3 linked regions of the Arabidopsis thaliana genome follow. The protein of the gene in region 2 purifies or fractionates together with the protein of the main gene of each other region. This does not show direct contact. Each region holds a gene or a part of one and is shown on either strand. Other genes may lie near its edges.

Region 1 (7,298 bases), about 19 Mb from region 2:
GTAATTTAAAAAAAGAGAAAAAAAATCTCGATTAGTGCCCGCAAACGTTAGACCGACACTGGGTCTAATGCAAAAGAATTAAAACATAGAAGCATAATTTATAACACAAATTCTAGTTCATCTACTCAATCAAAACATCCAAACTAATGGCGTTAGTGAAGTAATTACAATTTTGCGATTCTTCGCGAATTAGTTGAAGAAGACGAAAGACGAGTGCAACTTGTAGAAGCCTACAAAGTTTAAAACCCATAATTTGATGGGGTCAAAAAGTAGAACATATCAATGAAATTTTTTCACGCCAGTGATACTCGTGAACTTTGTATACTCATTCCATTTCTACCACATTTGCACTCAATACAATCTTTTAGAATCATAATAACTTCTTGAGAAAAGAACTTGGTCCAAGCTAGTGAAATCAAAAAGGTACGTTAAAAAAACAAATATCTTACAAACGGGACGCAGTTTTCACAGTAAGCTAAAAACGGCACGCAGGTTTCTAAAGAGTGGCGAGGATTTCAACGTTAGCTTAATTTTTCCGCGCTAAGACCAGCTAAAAAACGACACGTGGCAATCGTGTTCCTCAATGGTCTCTTTCGTCCAAGACCAGAAAAGAGAAGAAATGTGGCCACTCTAGAATCCGTCGCATCTCGATTCAAAGCTATTGATAATTTCGTCTTCTTCTTCCATGGAATAACGTGTTTAGGCGTGTATCACATGGTTCTTTCTTTGTGTGACACAAAACCAACATAAAGCTTCCATACGATTTAGACATTGTCGATCGCTATTGTAAGATCTGGTCTGGGTCCTCGATTTTGGTGAGGATTGTCGGGTGGAACAAAACTCTTTCTTAAAGGCTCTGCAGAAATTAATTCTCTGCTCTGGCTGGATCTGATAGTGATTTTACAGATTGTTCAGGTGCTTTATTGGGCTGTGTTTCTTCGTTAGTAAAGCTTTTTGCTTTCCTTTAGTTTAGTGAAATCTTAAAAATGTTTAACTTTGCGGCTTTACTTCAATTGCCTTATACACTGTGCAGGTCAGAAATGGGCAATCCGGGATCAGACACAGAGAGAAACAAGGGAAATGTGGTCTCAAGTGTGTTTGATCCTGCACTCTCTCGATTCGTTGGATTTTCCCAGAAACTCCAAACTCGTCTTAAGGTCATGCTCTGATTCCACACATTGCTTTTCAATACCTTGTGATGTTTTTGATCTTTAGAGGAGCTGAAAAAGGAAGCATTTTGTTCTCTTTGTCACAGTCCCAGCTGAAGAATTTGACAGATGATAAGCATGGGATTGGTTCTTCATGGAGGCAAGATAAAGGAAACTCATCGATCTCCATGCAAATTGATCTGGAGAAACAGTTAGATTGTTGGAGGGAAAACCCTTCGTGGACTGATCAGATCCCAGTCGTTAAGGTGAGCAAGAGATGAACTTTACAACATGGTTTTGTCAGAGTCTTTGAGAATCTTGTTATATGATAAATAATAACAAGATTTCTTTACAGGTGGGTATTCCAAAAGGATCGCTTTGCAATCTTAAAGCCGAGGTGAATGTTGGTTTACCTCCTGATGCAGTCTATAACATTGTAATTGACCCTGACAATAGAAGAGTCTTCAAGAATATCAAGGTACGTTTCTTATAGATTATCTTGTTCTCTCTGTTACAGTTTTAAGCTCCTGTGATTCATTGGCCTCGGAATTACAGGAGGTTATGTCGCGGAAAGTATTGGTAGATGACGGGTTAAGGCAAGTGGTGGAAGTTGAACAAGCAGCTTTGTGGAGATTTCTCTGGTGGTCAGGAACAATCTCAGTTCATGTCTTGGTGGATCAGGATCGGGCAGATCACTCTGTAAGACCTCTACGATTATAACAAAAGTCTCAAGTTTCTTGAATGGTTCGTGAAAGGGGATTTAAATGGGTGTTGCAGATGAAATTCAAGCAAGTGAAAAGTGGATTCATGAAGAGATTCGAAGGAAGCTGGCAAGTAAAGCCTTTGTTTGTGGATGAACATATGTGCGATCGTTTGAAACCGAAAACGCTGGAGGAGTATAACAGGTGCACTGGAGGTAAAGGGAGGATCGGATCTAAGGTAACGCTGGACCAGCTAATACAGCCAGCGATTGTTCCACCTCCGCCCATTTCTTGGTATCTCAGAGGAATCACGGCTAAGACGACAGAGATGCTTATCCATGACTTGTTGGCTGAGACCGCCAGGATCCGTGCAGCTGGAGTAATGGAGGATGGTCACTCGCCCGATGAGCAACGGATTGGCACACCTGGAGATATAAAAGAAAGATGGTCTGCACATAGAAGAACATCAAGGAGACGACGCAATGATTTGTGTTAAGTCACAGACTCACACAGTCCATGATTCTGGGATAATAGATATCTTGAGGATTTTTGGATCACCCAGCAATATGTGAACATAATATAATATTTGTTTTCATAAGATACACTGGCATATAAATGTGGGAATCTATTCCTTGTTGAAGAAGTTTACAACCATGACTCAATGACTCATGACCATTACAACCATGACTCAATGACCAATAGTGATATGAATTTTCAAATATACAAAATTTCTAATTCATTTATTTTGGTAAAGAAAGAAAGATATTTCTGTGATGAAAACGATGCAGACGTGAAAATAGGATACGCAAAAACAAGAAAGCAAAACAATCAATCATATTAATCCAGGCACAATACACGAAAGCTATTTAAAAGGGTTCTTCTAGTAAATTTTTAGGTACAAGACCATCTACTTGCACAATAAGAAACATTCACATACCCAAAAAAGCAAAAAGGTTCAGATAATATTTATAATCTCTCTTGCATCAAGACAGAGAGAGATCCCAACACAGCAGACAGAATCATCTCGATGCAACGCAATTTCTCCCTCATCATGCCTGTGCAAGAAGAGCAACACGAGGTAAAGATATAAGCATCGCAGAATAAAAAGAAACCAGCTCGTTAGATTTGTGTGTTTTTGAAGAAACTTATGTAGTTATGTTACCTTGCCAGCGATGTTGTTGGAGAGCCAGTCCAGACCTTCATAAAGCCCTTCACCTGAAGTGGCACATGTGCTCTGGATATACCTGTAGCGAGCAAAAACACACATCAGTATCGAACAGAAATTGTTTGACTTTTGAAACTTATAAGGATGTTTATTTACCAATGACGCTGACGGAGGGAGTGAAGGCCAAGCTTATCTGTGATTTCAGCAGCGTTCATAGCATTTGGAAGATCTTGCTTGTTGGCAAACACAAGCAACACAGCATCACGCAGCTCGTCCTGCAATAAAAGAGTTGGTAAGTAAAGGATTTTCAAACTAACAAAACTATGAAGAAGAACTCTTTCTCTATAGCACTGGATATTTACCTCATTCAGCATCCTGTGGAGTTCATCTCGAGCCTCAACAACTCTGTCTCTGTCATTGCTATCAACAACAAAGATTAGACCTTGAGTGTTCTGGAAGTAGTGTCTCCACAAGGGACGGATCTGAAAAAGAAGCCAAAAAGTCAGTTTATTTGGGTGAAAAGTTCCTTCATCAAACAATAAGCAGTACAGAGACTCCATACCTTGTCCTGACCCCCGACATCCCACACGGTGAAACTAATGTTCTTGTATTCCACAGTTTCCACATTGAAACCTGTTGATAGAATTTAGCATATCACTAATCGATCCTAGATTTTATACCATCATCACAATTTAAAAACCAGTACTAAGGTGTGAAGCTTCTTTACCAATAGTAGGGATGGTGGTGACAATCTCTCCGAGCTTGAGCTTGTACAAGATTGTGGTCTTACCAGCAGCATCAAGACCAACCATCAGAATTCGCATCTCCTTCTTGGCAAAAAGCCTGCTAAACAGCTTGGCGAAACTCAACCCCATTTTGCTTCACTGCAAACAAACACAACAAAGTCTAATATCAAAAACCTCATACACATTCTATATCACGCGATTTTCATCTCAGAAATCCTAAATTATGCATCTATAATGCCAAATTCAATTCTTATATCCTCTAAGAACCTGATCAATACCAAAATCGTCACTCACAAACATCAAATTTCAACGAGATCAGGCCGATCCAAACAGAGAATCAAACGTCCCGAGATATCATAATCTCTCTGATACAGATCTTCAACATCTCAGAAGCTATCAGATACAATCACAACGACGGAAAACGAAAGTGAATAGAAAATTCAACAGATCCACACTATCAGATCGTAATCAGAAACGTCGACATATATACACATCTTAAAAATAAAATCGCATTATCCATTCATGAGCAAGATCAACCTCAACGAAATCAATCACGACGATTCCAAAACCATCAAAATTCACAAGAAACGAGAAATGCAGAACACATACAGATCTACGCTAAATTGAGAATGTATGAGCACAGATCTTAGATCAAAGCGTACCTACGAAGAATGTTTCGGAGAGATCTGAGAGAGAGAGACCGCGAAGAAACGGAGAGAGCGAGAGAGACTCGAAGAAATTTGAAAGAGAAATGTGAGAGAAGCTTAAGAGAAACGCGATGACGCCGAAATGGGAAGTGGTGGAGAGCAATTTTATAAGGGAGAGGGGTACCGGTTTATTCGTCGTTTCTCACGCCAATTAACGAAATTGCCATTTGTAATTGACGGAATTACCCTCTTCGAATCTTCTATGACCAAGTGTGCAGGTGTTCGCGAGCTAACCAATTAAAACTTAACACGTGAGCAATACTCTTTTCTTAAGTGCTACTTCATCTCCAGTGAAAATTTCGTTATTTGTTGATGTTGTCTGACCAATAAGAAATCGTCATTTCAATCAATTTTGATAAATTTTATAATTATTAAAATAATTTTAATATATATAATATGATTACATATCTACATCTATTAATGATATTTTTAATGAAATTTTGTTTGTCTGGTTTGGTTAACTTTGGGAAACGTTAGCCACAAAATCATTTAAAAGATTTATTTTCAAAATGATAAAATTAATCAATTGAGAGACAATTCCGGTTTAGTATTAGCTTAAAAATTTAAACATTTGGGTCTGGTTTTGCTGCCAACCCTTAACGATCATAACAAAACATAGAGAGATGAGCAAATGCTACAAACTACCAAATAAGCATTCATTTTTTATACAAAAATATTAATCTTTACCTTAATTATAATCAATTTATAAACACTACAATGCTTTTCAATCTCATTGTATATGCTTCATTAACAAGCTATATATATAAGGTCAGTTGCTAAAGATGAATTACAACTAAATATAACGTGCACATTCCTCACTACAACGACCGTCAAAATATGTGATCACCTTAAAGCTCATCATGAGCATTTTCAGTTTCTTTTTCGACCATAATAGTTTCTGCCAAATACTGATCAGTTTGGTTTAAGCTCTTGTCGTCATGCGAATACAGACAATCCGCAGAAGGATGAACTACACCATAACCAAACCCTTCAGCAGAGTTACAATATGCTTCTACTTTTCCATCATTGCCTTCCAAGTTGATATTGTTGAGGACAATGTGGCTGCAAGGGACTGCGTCACTACACTTGAAGTTGATGGCTTTTGAGCTTTTCGTGGTTCCGGTTATGTTCCTGTACATTATCTCGGATATGTGAACCGCCGATGTCTGCAAAGAAATAGGAATCAAAAGATTAAGTTTCTTTCTTGAGGTTTGTTGATAAGTCAATGGTTATGTGAAAGAATTAAAACCTGGTTTTGACAAGTTGATGGTGAATCACAGTAGAATTGATCGATTATAATCGGATTCGCAACGTCCTGCATCACTACGTTCTCGAAACGTACACCCTTTACGTAACCATTACCACCCTGTTTTAAAGAGTTTCATCTTTCAATCAATCCTGAAAACTCTTTGGAAGGAAAGCAAAGATCAATAGAATTGAGATTTTACCTGCCATGTCTTGATTCTTAGACCATTAGTTGTGTTCTTTAAGAACGCAGTTTCCAACACAACTGCAGTGACGGTTCCTTTCGAATGTCCTTGTCCAAGACTTCCAATACTACAGAACAAGAAATTATTTGCAATCAATAATAATATATGTGTCTCATTTCTTTTTATGGTTAGAGATGGTTTACCTGATTCCATGTCCTGGTCCACAGTAGATCCTCTTCATCTTTATCTTGGCGCTTCCATTCACAATCGAGACACAATCATCTCCTGTTTTCAAGTTGAAGTGTCAGCTATAACATTTTGAGTTTAATATTATAATTACCATGATAGTGTTTTGAGTTAAATAGAAGTTTTTGGTGAAGAACCTGTGCTGATTTTACTGTCTTGGACTACAACATCGGTAGATGCGGTTATATGAATTCCATCAGTGTTGGGACTGTCTCCTGGAGATGTGACCATAACTCTAGAGATTCGAACTGTAGTTGACCGTTGTATGATCAAGTGCATCTGTTGGCTGTTCCGGATAGTTAAGCCTCTCACATACACATTTGAACTTGAATATATAGTTAGAGCCTGTATAAAAGTAAAGACTTTCTTATAAGCAAAATCAAACATAAATGATAAGTCTAATGGTCGATGAACACAAAAGGGAAAAAACTTAGACCGTTGGTGCGCCTACGCAAGGCTACAAAAGAAAAACAAGAAAGATATGTGTCAGATTTCTACTTCATGATTGATTAGAAGAAAGTCCACTTTATGTAAAGAAGATACTTACGTTAGACTTGTTCTTCTTGCAAGAAGCAGCCCACCATTTGGTACCAGAACCATCTATAACTCCATTCCCTTGGAATACAACTCCTTGGAGTTTGGAAAATTGAAGCCAATTCCTTGGGAATTTCGGGTCCCATTGGCTAGGCTCATCTGGTGCTATGATTGTTCCATCAATCTATCAAAATCAAAATTAAAAAAAAATAAAAATGCATAAGACAATAAATGGTAACATGTTGTTGTAGCTTAACGTGTAACAGGAATTAAGAAGTTAAAAGATTACCTGAATGATCAATTTTTCTTGACATGGACCATCGAATTTCGTCGCATTTACTAAATAGCTACGTCCTTGTGGAACCAATAAAACAGAGTTTGGTGCAGAGCAGGCCATGGTCCAAGCTCTTATAAATGCCTGGTTATAAGAGAAACTTTTCACTAGTTGATAATTAAAATATATATATATGGTGGTTTTGTGTGTCTATTCCACCAGCATTATCATGAATTTCTTAAACCGATTCGAGCATAACGCACCTGAGTATCATCAGAAACTCCATCTCCAGATGCATTAAAGCTATCCACATTCACCAGATTCTTACCAGAATATTGGCTTGTAAA
Region 2 (9,331 bases):
TTTTTTTTTTTTTTGTGTTAATTGTTTTCCGATTTGAAGCTAGCTAACAAGAGTTGTTTTTGGTTGTGATATAAATCAGGTTATTCACTCTCTGTGTAAAGTAATGCCGGCGTTTCAAAACCTCCTTAAGTTATCGTTTGAGAGTGACAAAGAAAGAGGCTGGCAAGTGGTGCCACTTCTTCTTAACAGCTCTCCAAACCTGGAAACTTTAGTCATCAAGGTAAATACATGTATATATCAAATTTCTGTTGATCAAAACACACACTTGTTATTCTTTTTGCTTTACATGAATTTCTTCCTTTCGATTTCAGGGACTTGTGCACAAAGTTACTAGTAGATGCGGGGACGCCTGCCTTTGCATCCGTAAGAAGACGAGGGGAGAATGTTGTTTATTGACATGTCAAGTGAAGGTGTTAAAGATTATAGGGTATCGCGGAACTTGTCGTGAGCAGAAGCAGATGAGTCATTTCTTGGCAAATTTGAAATGTCTGGAGACTGTCAAGGTGCGCGTTGAAGTGGATCACCGAGAAGACAACGATGCTAGTAATACGTACCTGAGAATCACCAATGCTCTTATGAAGCTTCCTAGGGTTTCATCAAACTGTCGGATCCATTTCCTCTGATATCTCTTTGCCACCGTTGTTTATTTGCCAAAACCTTGTTTATTTGATGGTTGCAAAGCATTATTGTTTAGACTCTCAGAATTGTTTAATTGATCATAACCATGTCTTGTAATATTTTCCAACATCACCCAATTAATTCTCATAAAATATTGAAAGAGGCTATGTATATATCAAAAGAGTGAGGAAGATAATTTTAAAAAGGAGAAATATGAAGCATAACCATGAAGAATAATGATACCAAAAAATATGAAGAATTATTATGAAGATACATATTTGAATAATATAAAAGATATGAAAAACTTAAGAATGGATATTTCCTTAATTAGTGTTTTCTTTCATGATTATATTATTATTATACAAGAATGACCACCTACGCAACATCCAATGTCTTGCAATTTGCATGTATATTAAAATAGTGTCATGAGTCACGAGGTTTCTCGAGGAAGTGAAGACAACATCATTAGTATAAGGATAATGCGTCTACGATTCTTACTTATTTAGTGATTACTTTTGATATATCTTTCTACAAATTATACCTCTTATAACAATTGTTTGTAACAAACGAAAGAATTATAGAAATACAAGAATAATGAGAAAGGGATAGCTAAGGGGAGATGTCCCCTTCATGGTGGGACATTATGTTGGGGTGTTAAAAAAAAATACACGAATGGGCACATTTGGTGGCTTTTTTCAACTTCAGACAAACATAGTCCCAAAGTTGAGACCAATCCCTAATTTCCCATTCTTCTTGTCTTCATTTGGGCCTCCATTGTCAATATCTGACACCCCATCTGTCTGAATCCATGAAAACTACATCCTCCTTTTATTAAATCGAATTTTCCTAATCCAAACCCACACTATGACTATCGTAAAATATGTTTGCACCACTCAGTTCTTATAATGCAATGTTTTAAGACTACGATAAGTATGATTTCTCAGGGTATCTTAAACAAAGACTATTATTAATTTATGACTTTGGGATTTCGGACACTAGAATCTGAGAGAACATGACATGTTAGTTAATTGCTTATTTCAAATTCCAAATTGGTATTAATCTATTAAGTTCTAGGCATTGTAGTCTTAGATAATATGTCAGCTTTTAACATCTAGTGGATCTGTGAATAGAATATCATGTGACTCATGTCTATATGTTGTTTATTAATGGGATTAATTACTTTTGCTAATGTGCATTAACATGTTCTTTTGCAACAAGAGTTGTTTATTATTACCAATGAAAGCAATTATATGGACTGTAGAAAGTATTAAACTTAATGAAAAACAATAATTGTCTACTCACTACTGTTTACTTTGGAAAGAAAAAATATACAAATTCTTTTAATGTAAACAAAATATAAAACCATGTCAAGTCTGAAAAAACCAGTTTTAGTTTTTTTGAGAATTAACGATGATGCAATGGATTGTTGATCAGAATCCAAGCGTAATTAAATGAATTCATAGATAAACAAACCGTTTCAGGCTTCTTAGACTTTTAGTTTTTATTAAAAGATCTAAGACTTTAATTTGAATAACAGTCTTATACTTTGTGAAGCTATCACATATGAAAAAAACTAGACTTAAGAGATTTAGACAAAAAGAATGCAAAGAAAAGACATGTGGTGTGCTAGTTTAGCTTTATCTACTTTTCATGAAACCAACCCCAATTCAACTCTTCCTTCTTTGACCATATACTATTTTACTAATCAACTATTTTAGCATTTACTGTTTACCATTGACATTGCTTTAGGTTCATAGATTATGCAAGTGGTAAAGTTGTATTGAAAGAAAATAAACAACAACAAAATAATGGACCCCTTAACTTTGGATGGTTAAGGAGGGATCCTATGAGAATATGGGATTAAGAGAACTAATTAATGGTATTACTATCTTTCATTTTTTTACTTGTACACTTTACTTTATTCCACATTTTCGGAATTTACCAAACCCTTTTTTCCTTGTAATTTCTTGTCTGCCTATGTACTAAAACCTTCAATCTATATTCACATATATAAATATTATATATATAAACGGCTCACCACAAAAATAAATAAAGCCCCTCCCCAACCCAAAAACTTGATTGGTCATCTCAAAATATATAAACATAAAATTCCGAAATCGCTTTTCTTCTATCCTTGAGATTTACCTTTTTACTCTTCCCGCGCAGCTTTCTTCACATTTCCGTAGAGCCGAGAATGTTAGTTAAAAACTTTAGCCTTCTTGTCTTTAGCCCTCTTCAATGAAGATCCTACTGATGAAGTCTCTGAACCTCTTTGAATAGAGTTTAGGATCAACAGCTGAGATCGAAGCAGGATCGGCTTGCAGTGACTTATACGCATGCTCGATCTTTTTGGTTATGTCGTAGTCTTGCAAGATGTCAATGACTCCAAAGTAGAGAACAACTTCGTACATCTCACCGTGTGATGGATAACTGGCTCCTCCTGATGAATACTGATCAAAATCGCTTCTCCGGGCCATTCGTTCAGCTTTTGCTGGCATGTTTGCGCCTAATCTGATCGATGGTTTCCTGTTAACACAAGATTGAATATTAAGCAAAAATTGATGGATCATGAATTGATTGATTCTTTTCTAGCAAACAGGACCACATGACTTGTTTAAACACTCCCCACACAAGATTGCCAAGCACATTTAATCATTCCTACATATATTATATACTTAATCCGAAATTGAATCTCTCAACCACTTCATGTCTCAATGGCTATGAATGCAAAAAGCTTCCTCTGTGAAGTCAACTTCTTAACATTAAAAATGAAACCCGGATCAATGATTGTTACCTGCCAGCTAAAATCCGGTCCATGTCTTGAAGTTCTGCCTCTAGGAAGCGACAACCGCGCATGAATTTTTCATTCTGATATGAATCTATCCTACCTGCATAAGATTGACATAAATCTCACGATAGGTCGACTTCAGCGGGGGGACACATATAGAGAATGATCAATGATGTATAATTTACCAGATCTCAAAACGAATGGAGAAAGCCCCATCTTTTCTCCTGTGTTGTCATCACGGAAGTGAACACCAACTAAAAGGCTATAATCCATTATTCTCTCTGCTTCCAAGAACTCACAATCGCGTTTTATTTGCCTGATCATGAATACCGATCAGCATTAGCATATGTTTAGGTAGCTGAATACTTTGCATACGCAAAAAATAGTGAGAAGCATGGAGCTTACTTCATAAGCTCTTGATACCAGTTTCTCTGAAGACGGAAAGAAAAATTGAGATCAAGGTCCTTGAGAGTCGTGGTCTCATCAATTTCTCCTTCAGGCTTTGCAGTGCTACGCCCATGAGAAGACCCTTTGAGGTCAAACCGTCTCTGGATTCTATACTCGGAGCAGAATAAGTTTCCCATAACGATAAACCGAGTCTGATCAAAAATGGTAAACAAAACAGTAAATTTTCTTGACACTAAGAGACCCATGAAGCTTTAGATGAACAAACACATACCTTTTGGCCACCAACAGGTTTGACACAATGAACACCGTAGAATCTAGTCACAAGGGAGTTTTCGTATTGGCAGACATGTTTGTAGTAACTTGGAAGCATTCTTAGAAGAACCTGGATAGAAGAAGACAAACACTTCAGGTCAAATTTCTTTAGCTAATCACAGACTTAGTGGAGTTTATGATTGAGAAAGTAATGTGAAAGCAAAGAAACAAACAAACAAAAAGGGTGTCCCATCCGCTAATCAAGTAAATTAACTTGAACAGACAAGCATTTTCAAATATGACAAGAGAAAGGTCAAAAACAAGAAGAGCCAACAACTACTAACCTTGACTTCTGATTTCTTCACCGTTTTGATCATAAATCTATCATCTTGAGTTAGGTAAAAAAAGCTTCCACTCTTTCCAGGTGAAGATAGTTCGCGGAGAGCATCATTTCCACATATAGCTAGCATATACTTAGCTGGATCCACTTGGAAAAGCTCCCTGAGACGTCTACAAACAAAATTTGCCCAAAAAGAAACACAATTCATCACAAATACGTCCACAATCTTATCAACTAAGCCCAAATTTGGGTATAGCCACATCATCAAACTTAAAACGCATTCAGCAATTTGCTAAATTGAAACACTTTTCATAAAAATAAAAAAGCTAAAAAGTTACCTGAACACTAAAGGGCAATAATCCTTCCACCTGAAATCCACTGACTGATGCGGCGGTGTTGTCTTAGTCCCTTCTGGTGGAAACCTTGTCCAAAATTTCTCCTTTGGATCGAAATCAGTCTGTTTAAGATCACGAACAATCGAAGCATGTTTGCCAACAGAATACCTAATTCAATCACACACAACCTTCATTAGAAACAACAGAGAAAGCCATCACACACCAAACAAAAACACCAATCCACCAAATTTGAGATATTTACCTGATTCCTAATTGCAAATTCAGCATCAAATCATATTTCTTATGCCCTTTAGAAATAGTCTGTCCAGGTTTCTTAGCCTCACCATTAAACCAACAAGGATTCTTCTTAAACTGCCTAAACCCATCACGATCAACAGAGATCCTATCTCTATAAATCATGGAAGCTTCAACATTATCAATAATATCACAAGTGATATCTCCAGCTTCACCATCAGATTCCCAAATACAGATTCTTGGAAAAACTTTCTCACCTCCCAAACTCCCAGCTCCACTATCAACAGAAGATCTCTTCCTATTCCCCACAATCAAATCATTCTTCTCAACACCATTAAAGAAACTCCTCATAATATTACTCTCATTCCAAGCACCAACACAAGAACTCCCATCACTCCAAGTAAACACACCATTCCCTTTAGGAATCCCATTCTCCCACAAACCTTCATATCGATTCCCATTAGGCCAAACAAGCAAACCTTTCCCAGAAATCACACCACTACGCCACTCTCCAGTATACTGATTCCCATTTCTCCACACATACCTACCTCTACCATCTTGTAGATTCCTTCTCCAAGTACCTTCATAAAAATCTCCATTTGCATAACGCTTTTGTCCATGTCCGTGTTTTCTATCAGCAACCCAAGTTCCTCTATAAGTATCTCCATCAGCTCCAGTGAAAGTACCAAAACCTTCCATTCTCCCAGATTTGAATTCACCTTCGTAAGTAGCTCCACTTGGCCATGAGAATTTGCCTTTCCCTGAAGCTTTCCCTCGTTTCCAATCTCCTTCGTACATGCACCCATCTTTCCATAGATACTTCCCGGATCCATGTGGAAACCCACCGGAGAAACTTCCGATGTAAAGATCTCCGTTTGGTAGCGGCTTCTCAACATCTACTAAAGGCGTGGGAGTCACGCGCCGAGTCGTTCCTTGAGATCTCGATCTCACCATTGGAGTAGATTGAGCTAACAACACCAAACCGTCTCGTCTCTCTACTTCTTCACCGAAACGCAGATTCTTCTTCTTCTTCTTCTGAACGACGCTGCTTAAAATGACTTCACTAGCTTCTTCTTCTTCTTCGTCTTCTTCTGAATCACTCATCAGAGAATCTTCACTCCAGTCCTCGATTCACAATGTTCCTCAATCTCAGAAAATGTCATTCGTTTGAAATCTAGAGTTTTAACAGATTTCTTAACAAAAAAAACTCAGTGGAGAAACGAAAAACACATTTCTCCGGCGATTCACCACCGGATTTTTCAAATGGGTTTGAATAAAGCTAGAAACTTTATCAAGAATTTGGTTACTCAGAAGATATCACACAAGTATTTCTAAATCTGAGAAGAAGAAACCTTGTGAGATTTCGTACAGACGCTACAAGAACATCAAAAGAAGAAAAGTGATGAACAGAGAGACACAAGAGAGACGATGATTAATTTTTAATTTATAAAATAAAAGTATTGGGAAGCGGACACAAAAAGCCCACCAGCCCGAAAAAGAAACCCACAATATTATTAAAAATTTGAAAACGACACCGTAGTGTAAACATAAAATTAATAATACATACGTACTCGAGATTGTTTCGAATTTGTCTTTGTATAATTTAAAGCGATATGATATAGTATGGGCTACTTCATACGTTAATAGTAGAAGACCAAATGATTAGTTTATGGTCTACCTTTGTTTACTTATTTTATTGATAGTAGAGAAATGATTATGATTGAGAGGATTATCGAGAAATCTTGATTAGGAAGCGAGTTTCCAGGTGATTGTCTTTGATGACTTACTTAATTAATTACTTTTATGATTCTAAGAATTTTGTTCTCTTCTGTGATTAGATGATCGTTGTCTTGGTGGGTTTTTTTTATATCTTTTCGAGTATTGATTCTCTTCCTACTTGCGATGATTTATTAATTTAAAGGATACTTATATTCCCATACGGATAGTGATAGATACAGAAGATGGTTGATGCAAGTAGTATATGAAATTCTAAAGTTGCGTTATTTTTTTAACGTTTTTATGTTGATATTGATAGTGCCAAAGGTTTACATTTTAAAGTTGAGTTTTTGTCCGCCATTTGTAAATTAGGTCTAATATTTTATTTGATAAATAATCGAGATTTTTTATAGTTTGGTTTCGCATAAATAGACATACATCATCCTATAGGCTATAGGTTCGTGTACTTTGATTTGAAGTGCTAGTAGTAGGACATGATTGTCATTCGAATAACCACAAACATCATAAAAACTATATTGCGAGTTGCGACCGTGCACGTAAACTTCATAATTCAAACGTGTAACATTTTAACAAAAAAAAATGCTACAAAAATACCTAATACACCACATATTAAGTATGTATATTTCTAAAATTGTATTATACGTACGAGTGGTCAGTGGTTAGTTACCACGGCTGTGGTGGTTAGAGTATCTAACACATTTGATCACCATTTAATTAAAATCTTTATAAAAATATATTACAACCGCATTAGGAAAAATTAAAAATATACTTCAAGGGAACGTGGGCGTACGTAATCTGAGTTTAAACTTTTTGTATAAAAGAAGCAATTGAATCACTCAAAATGTTCTTAAAACCTTAATTCAAGTTTGATACTCCTTGTTTTTATATCTTCATAAACTGACCATTTAACATTTGTTTTCTTGCGTTTGTTCTACGTGTTGGAGCTATTCGACACTTATTTATGTTATTTCGTCATTACTACACCGTTTATTTTATTTCGGTACTCGAAGCCGACGTTAATGCTGGGGGTGGATCCCCAGTTAAAACCTAAAAGTACTCAATAACTTTTGTCCACATTAATGAAAAAATCACACGATACGAATAAATATAAATATTAGGAGTATAAAATATGGTTGAATGAATGTATTTTTTCCCATTCATACACCATAACGCGTTGGTACTCTACGCCATACTGAGATACTTTCCCATTCCATATTCAAGGCATCTCATTACTCTTCGCTGTATACTTGAAATCTGAAAGCTCTAGTGTTTCTTTTTTGACGCTTTCAATTCTAAAAACCCACGAGGACACATCTTTTTCGATTCCTAGCCATCATTTATTTGTGTATATGATTTTTATATTGTCATAGAATACACATTTTGATTTGCAAAAAAAAAAAACATTCTTAGCGAAATACCGACTTAATTGTCCACAAATATGTAAGATAAGATCTAATTATATTGATGTATTCAATCACACGTATTGGCATACTTATAAACTGTGGTACTTCGAATCTGATGTAAAACATCTTTGTTTTTTTTTGGTCAACTACTAAGAGAATCTCTAAAATTAGTCTTACACAAAACTTTATTTTATTGAGTACTGATTTCGAAAGAAACAAGTGTCTTCGGTTACTTGTTTTTGACGAAAATAAAATATTGCCTTAGGCAAATTAAAAACATTAAACACGAATGTTACGTGTTTAATTGGCTAAGTTAACGCAAAAAAATACATATACATATATTTGATATATTCAGCATAATTTGTTTTATTTATCGTTTTTAGAATTCGTGGCCATTAGACCCATAACTATATGACGATGTTAAAGAGAAAATAAATCATAAATAAAATAAGAGTCCTTATCAATAAACCTAATTGGCTAATTTCAACCTCAAAGAGTAGTAGGAACAGGTAAGGTGAAGCCAAACAGCTCCTTTTACAGTTGGACCACTAGAGCTGATCTGGCATACAAAGTATGCTTATTGGGCTGTCACGGCCCATCCGCAAAATGTCGTTGGTTACGAAGCATCCACGACATAGACGGTGCCACATGTAGAAAAGTGTTTCGGCGATCAAGATTGTGTCCACATCATTAGCGTCTGAACTGTCCACGTGTCTATCAAAGCTGGCGTCAAACATTACGTTTTCGTCGTTTGCGCCTCCTAGTTCACACGTGCAACGAACGCGTGCGACGTATCAAAATTGTTAATGTTAGCCATGTATAAAGAATATCTACAAAATTAACCTCAGGAATATTTTTGTTTTTTCAATTGAGAGAACAAAGAAAAGACTGGTGAGTGATAAGCGATGATGGCCGGTGAATCAGGTAGCCGTCCTACAACGTGGTTGATTTTGAGCAAACTCCTATCTACTCTTCACACTATTGAAATCCCAAAATGTCGTCACACCATAATAATGTGAATTTTGTTATGGAATTTGAGGGAAACAGTAGATATATGTTTCTACCAGTGAAAGTTACCCTGCTTTGGACATATCTACGAGAGTAGAAAGTAGAAACATTCACTAAACGTGACAACTTTATAAATTTTCTTTTTGTAACTTTTCTTTAGATTTATTTACGAGAAGAGAAATATAAA
Region 3 (6,491 bases), on a different chromosome or scaffold from region 2:
CCAAACGCTATCGCAGCTGCTATCCAGTTCAGCAATTGGTCTTCCGATTCCGACAAAGGTTCCTCGGGTTGCTGAGATGTAGTAGGAACGGGCACATGATGGCTTTCTCCACAAATTTCCCTGAAACCATAGAGTCCAAGATTACCCAGGAACGAAGAACAATTTTGAGTTGCAAACTGTGTACTTTGTGGAATCAATCCTTCAAGATGATTGTAGGAGAAGTTGGTGTTGGACAAAAACGAGAGTTTTCCAAGACTTATAGGAATCTCACCAGACAAGTTATTTCGTGATAGGTCTAATGACTCGAGATTTGTGATATTCGCCAAGGATGGTGGGATATTGCCTGTGAATGCATTGCCTGACAAGTTCAGAAGACGCAGTTCGCTCAGTAGACCAATAGACCCAGGGATATGTCCGGAGAATCGGTTTCCAGAAAAATCAATAGCATTGAAACCTTCAAAGATACGATCAAAATCCGTCTCTACTCCTTTGTACACCAAATCGATCGAATCATACGTACTAAAATTAACGTTTCCCATATATTTAAACTGTGGGATGTCCGAACCACTCCACACCAAAGACATTTCAAGCCAATTGGCAAAATAGTCTTGTGGCAATGATCCAACAAAGTTGTTATTGGATATATCAATGATCCTTATACTTGGAAACCCCAAATATGCGGAGGGGTTATAGACGGGACCATAAAATGCATTTGATCCGAGCATAAGAACTTTTAAATATGGTAGAGATCCCAACCAAAATGGAAACGTGTCCATGATTTTGTTTCCTTTCACATTCAAAAATTCAATCCTCTCGCAGTTGATCAACGATTTTGGAAGTTTACCCACCAAATTATTGCTGCTAACGTCAAGTGATCGCAACTGAGAGTCCTTAATGAATAAATTTGGTAGAACCCCACTTAGACTGTTGTTTCTCAGATTTAACGTATGAAAATAAGTGGAATACTTCAAACATTGAGGAATGGAACCATTAAAATGGTTGTTGGACAAATCCAAGGCGTATAAATCTTTAACCTTGCATATCCATTTGGGGAATGGTCCGTCGACTGAATTTGAACCAAGATTTAACATAGTTAATGATGCTCCATCGATAACTTCCACTGATTTGGCGAAGCAGTTGAAAGAATTATAAGAAAGATCCACATAATCCAACTTTGAGGATCTCCATACAAAATCAGGGACTTGACCTTCCAACTTATTATAGGAAAGGTCAACGCTAGTGAGGTTGACTACTTTAGATATTGATCTAGGGACTTGTCCTCCGAAATTGTTGTGGCTAACATCTAAATATTCGAGATTGACTAATTTAGATATAGATTCTGGAATTAGCCCATCTAAATTGTTGAAGCCAACATATAACACTCTTAGCCTAGATAATGAAAAGGTATTCCTAAAATCAATAGGTCCCTCGAAGTGGTTTTGGCTTAAATCAATATGGACTAAAGAAGGAATCATGAGCAATGATAAAGGAAAAGGTCCGGAAAATGAGTTGTTATACACCGAAAATCGCTCTAAGTTGTGAAGTCCACTAAGGTCAGCGGAAATGGAGGATTTGAAGTAATTTAAGGAGAGGTCTATAATGGACAAGCTGGTTAAATTGGCTAATACTGTATCCCCACCCGTGAACTGATTTCCAAAGAGGTACAATTCAGAAAGCTTTGTTAAGTTGGCAAATGAAGTAGGAATATTACCTTTTAGATCATTATCCCAAAGACGCATGGACTCTAGTTGGTTTAGGTTACCGATTGAAGCGGGAACTTCACCTACTAATTGATTATTCGAAAGATCAAGATATGTGAGATGAGAAAGATTTCCAATGGAAGAAGGAATTTCCCCTTGAAGTTTGCAACGTGAAAGCACTAGCTCACGAAGATGTTAGCAGTACTATAATAGAGTTGTAGTGATATCACCTCTCCCAATATAGCATCACATGTGACACCATCCCAAGAACAACAGTCAACGTTCTTGTTCCATGTAGTTGTTGGTACATGTAACTCCTTTTGTACCTCTAAAAGAGCATCTCTTTGGTCGCTGCGGCACAGTAACCGTGTGGGACAAGCAATGGTGTTTGGTAATGGAAGAATGCTCAAGAAGAAATAGATGGTAAGAAAGCAATAAGATAGGCTTCGAATCATCGTCTCTCAATTTCGTTTTTTTTGGGAAAGGAAGATAATTTGTTTGTGGTAAGTGATGAGCATAAACTCACTTGTTTTTATAAAAGTGTGAGGAGCTTGACTTTTGACTTGGCAAGTCTTCCTATGAATAATTTGTTTTTGTTGGACCTTATCTTACGTCCCTTTTCTTTTACTGAAGAATTTTTTTTAGCACCCACCAATTCGACGAAATGTCTAAGATACATTATCCCCACCTATTCTTGAGGCTTTGAATTTTATATTGAGGATGTTGAAGATGCGTTGAGTTGAGCCCATGGGCTTAGCGACAAGGAGCGAATAAGAGAATCATTATTGAGTACCATGTAGTGATCAAAGCTTATGGAATCGGTAGCAGAGAGGGTAATGTATCTGCTGGTAAAAAGACAATGAAGCGGGAGATTTTGATTTCTTCATGGATTATACAAAACTGAACAGAAACAAAACAAAAAAGAGACTAAAATCCACAAAGTCACAATCTATTTACATGATGTCATTGTGCCATGAAAGAACTATATCTTCAAGCTCAGTAATCAAATCAGACCACCGTGAATCATCTTCTTCACCTTCAACAACTTTCACTTCAACCACCACAACATCCACCGTTAACTCCACTGCTTCCACCACAATCACAGTTCTTCCTCTCCCTAATCCAACAACCTTCACTTCTCCTTCCTTCTTCATCATCTTCTTCTTCACTACATAACCTAACTTCTCCCCAATCATCTTCGCCTTCTCCTCCACTTCAACACCCGAAACCTTCGCCGTGAATCTCCTCTCCTTCTTCTTCTTAGCCTCAAACAATCCAGAAAGATCTAATCCCGACGATAACGAGATCAAATCAAAAGCAGTAATCGAATTAACACTCGATTTCATCTCTACTTCCGAATCAAAGACGTTACGATGAAACTCAGAAGTCTCTAGAGACTTCTTGAACCAATTCGTTTTCATCACTGTTTCAATACTCATCCTCGTTACTGGATTCGGATCTAACATCTGATAGATTATCGATTTAGCTTGTTTCGAAATCCAGCTCGGAAACCGATAATCTCTCCGATGAATCTTCCGATACATCGCAGCGATATTCGAATCATCAAATGGAACATCGCCAACCAATAAAACAAACAAAATCACACCACAAGACCACGCATCAGCTTTTGCTCCGTCGTATCCCCTCCGTGAAATAACCTCCGGAGCTGTATAAGCCGGAGTACCACACGCCGTGTGAAGCAATCCGTTTTGTAGATGCTCCGGTAAAGCTGATAAACCAAAGTCAGAGACCTTGAGGTTACCTTGCTCATCTAAGAGTAGATTCTGAGGTTTCACATCACGGTGAGCGACACCGTCTTGGTGAGAGAAACGAAGAGCGGAGGCGAGTTGTTGAAAGTAACGACGCGCCGTTGATTCAGGAAGACGTCCACGACGGAGGACTTTTGAGAAAAGTTCACCACCGGAAGCGAGTTCCATTACGAGATAGATCTTAGATTTGGTTGCCATAACTTCATGGATCTTGAGTATGTTTGGATGATGACGAAGACGACGCATCGCATCGATCTCTCTGATTATTCTTGGTTCCATACCGGATTCGATTGTTTTCTTCTTCTCGATGATTTTAACGGCGACGAGCTCGTCGGATTCGATTGATCGAGCTAAATGGACTTTCGCGAAGCTTCCGCTACCGAGACGACGACCGAGTTCGTATTTCCCAAGGAGGATCTTCGCCGGAGTTGTTGCCGGAGATGATTGGTTTTGCGGCTGGGGAAGTGATTCCATGGCGGCGGCGGAAGGAGAAAATGGTGCCTGAGTTTTCTGAAGAGAGGTTTCAGGGACGAGTTGTTTGGTGAGTGTCTCTTTGCTTTTATAGGAAAAAGAGATTTATTGCTTTTTTATTATTCCGAAACTACCCTTGAATAAATTAGTTCTGCTGTCACTGAGAAGTAGAATCTTTTTACTTGGTATACACATTATTTTGTAATTAATTCGTTGAGAAAATTTAGGAGAAAATATTAAGTGTATTTTTTCTGTCAATTAGTAATAGTGTTTTTTTTCTCAATAATATCACATATCCATAAATAGTCAAAATAAATAAAATAAAATGGTCTTACAATGTAAAGTTTATGGGTTGACAGATAATTATCATTTATTTATTTAAATTGTTTGAAATTGGAGTGTTTATTCACCTAAAATAACTGTAGATGTTCTGTAAAAGCTTGTGTTTAAGAGTTATATATATGACTGTCAAAAAAACACAAAGAGTTATGTATATAAATTTAATAAAATCATTTCAGTTTCACTTTGAAATTTATTGTAAAATCTTCAAAAAATAATGTATATATTGTACATTTTAGAATATGACATTAATTTTAAAATCTCCTAATAAAATACATTTACTTTCAATAAATATTGTTGGAATCATTTTTTTTAATAGCTTGTAAAAATGTGTCTCAACAGACAAACATTACCCTCATATATATTTCTAGTCTCCGCTACAACACCTTCATACTTAAGAGACCATTATAAGAATGAAACTATGAATCAAAGGTTTTATGATTATGGGTCTATGTAACAAAATGTAGTTAAATCTTTAATGCTTTACAAAATTCTATAATATCTCTTTTGAAATCATTGGATTGGGTTATATGTAAATAACATTTTTCATGAATAATTCTATTGCGATTAATTTAAAGTTGTTAACTAAAAAAAGATTTGATTGAGAAAAATATATTTTATATAATCCAATGCTCCAAAAGTTCTGATATTTTGGATTTTAAGTTTTGGATCTCAATAACAACAATATCACAACCTTGATTTCATAAACTTATATGAATCTTATTGTGTATGTGTTGGTTATTAATTTATAACACATTACATTTCTTAAATAATTCTATTATCTTTTTTATATATGATGTAGGCTACATCATGTAGCTAAAAGGTGTTTTTTTTTTTTTTTTTCCATCCGCTAAAAGGTCTATAAAATAGCCTTTTGCTATGATTACAATCTCAACTCTTTTATTTTTCTTGTTTAAAGCATTACACTTAACTTTATACTTTATACACAACGATATATTCCTAAGAAAATATTTTATGGTCGATATCACAGTGTGTCTATTCCAATCTCAAGTGCTGAAAAACAAATCATGAAAAAGTTGGAGTAATCAATATTCAAAATAGAGAATATAAAATAAATCTTGGTGTTCATCATTATTATTGTTGTATCTATTCGACACTTGGTGTTGAAATTAAATATTGTATTCCTTAAATAATTTGTATTCCTACTTTCAACGGTCCATACGTGTCCATCTTTTTCTAGCTAGATTCTCTCATCAATTTTTTCCACCTGAAATGTAATTAAACCATCCTTAAATATGGTTTAACTTAACTAGCAAATTAAATCACACAAAACCGTATTATTGAACTAAGGGTAAATAAGTCATTTACTCAAGTCCCAAACTGATCAGTGATTACTGGTGGCTTTTGAGCCAAACTAACAAACCGTCAAGATTGTTTGGCAGTTGTCGACTGACATATGGACGGCTCTCATTTGGCCAAGTCAGCAAAGAATTGGGCCCATTGGTTTTGATTTTGGTGTTAAAAACAAAAGTTCAATTTCTAGAATTATTTTATTCTCCTCAGATTTAGAATTTGCTAGTCAACAATGGCATCTTTGTCACACACTAGAACTCACCAATATTCATCAGTCGGCTCCATATTACAAAGAATATATTAACTATGAAAAAAATTACGCATATGCATGTAACAATGATATCATATTAAACCATTCTTGATACGTATCTTTAGAAAATTATTGCTATATATTTGGACTATTGGAGGTAGTGGAATAATATATGATTATGTTGTATCAAAATATCTTCTACAGTTAATATTTTAATTCTGAGCAGGTCAGATGCCATGTTGTAATTTTTAAAATATACCAATATTTTTTCTGAACATATAGACATCTAATTTAAGGAGATAAATTTCTATATAATATTTACTATTTAAAGTGTTTTTCAAAATTGACGATCTCTTTGCGTATTATATTTACAATTATATATCACACAGAATTCTTTTTACATAGGTATTTGTACAGTAAACTGGTTTAAAGGTTAGACATTTAGTATAATTTCAAAAGTTGGCAAAAATGTATATCGTTCTATATAATTGTACAAATACTAATATGATGTTGATTCAGTGGTAAATCTTTCAAATATAGAGATAATGAGTTCGACGTCTATTAGAGAAATAAATTTAATTTAGTATAGATTCTGTCTCTAAAAAACGTAAAGTTTTTGAGTTTTTGGGTTTAAACTTTTAGATATTC

The links.
Region 1: the proteins of PIP5K1 (region 2) and ARFA1D purify together in Arabidopsis thaliana (affinity purification with mass spectrometry, with the first as the bait; one study listed by BioGRID). This does not show direct contact.
Region 3: the proteins of PIP5K1 (region 2) and CIPK7 purify together in Arabidopsis thaliana (affinity purification with mass spectrometry, with the first as the bait; one study listed by BioGRID). This does not show direct contact.

The regions. Positions count from the first base shown.
Region 1 is NC_003070.9:26,561,264-26,568,561, forward strand, and holds ARFA1D (Ras-related small GTP-binding family protein), read right to left. Parts: upstream 4,549-7,298; 5' UTR 4,423-4,548; exon of another isoform or gene 3,899-4,422; 5' UTR 3,890-3,898; coding exon 3,742-3,889; intron 3,648-3,741; coding exon 3,577-3,647; intron 3,497-3,576; coding exon 3,377-3,496; intron 3,290-3,376; coding exon 3,171-3,289; intron 3,094-3,170; coding exon 3,012-3,093; intron 2,905-3,011; coding exon 2,899-2,904; 3' UTR 2,455-2,898; downstream 1-2,454. Other genes in the region: AT1G70480 (OBP32pep, putative (DUF220)), read left to right, coding at 987-1,157, 1,256-1,414, 1,504-1,626, 1,704-1,847, 1,926-2,345; AT1G70500 (Pectin lyase-like superfamily protein), read right to left, coding at 5,316-5,633, 5,717-5,833, 5,916-6,024, 6,101-6,182, 6,281-6,488, 6,580-6,600, 6,691-6,861, 6,967-7,095 and 1 more. UniProt on the Arabidopsis thaliana protein: GTP-binding protein involved in protein trafficking; may modulate vesicle budding and uncoating within the Golgi apparatus.
Region 2 is NC_003070.9:7,731,822-7,741,152, reverse strand, and holds PIP5K1 (phosphatidylinositol-4-phosphate 5-kinase 1), read right to left. Parts: upstream 6,493-9,331; 5' UTR 6,101-6,492; coding exon 5,004-6,100; intron 4,910-5,003; coding exon 4,745-4,909; intron 4,577-4,744; coding exon 4,411-4,576; intron 4,197-4,410; coding exon 4,086-4,196; intron 4,006-4,085; coding exon 3,812-4,005; intron 3,723-3,811; coding exon 3,592-3,722; intron 3,507-3,591; coding exon 3,413-3,506; intron 3,145-3,412; coding exon 2,844-3,144; 3' UTR 2,381-2,843; downstream 1-2,380. Other genes in the region: AT1G21990 (F-box/RNI-like/FBD-like domains-containing protein), read left to right, coding at 80-220, 312-623. UniProt on the Arabidopsis thaliana protein: Catalyzes the synthesis of phosphatidylinositol 4,5-bisphosphate and phosphatidylinositol 3,4-bisphosphate.
Region 3 is NC_003074.8:8,170,106-8,176,596, reverse strand, and holds CIPK7 (CBL-interacting protein kinase 7), read right to left. Parts: upstream 4,119-6,491; 5' UTR 3,944-4,118; coding exon 2,654-3,943; 3' UTR 2,455-2,653; downstream 1-2,454. Other genes in the region: RLP36 (receptor like protein 36), read right to left, coding at 1-1,739. UniProt on the Arabidopsis thaliana protein: CIPK serine-threonine protein kinases interact with CBL proteins. Binding of a CBL protein to the regulatory NAF domain of CIPK protein lead to the activation of the kinase in a calcium-dependent manner.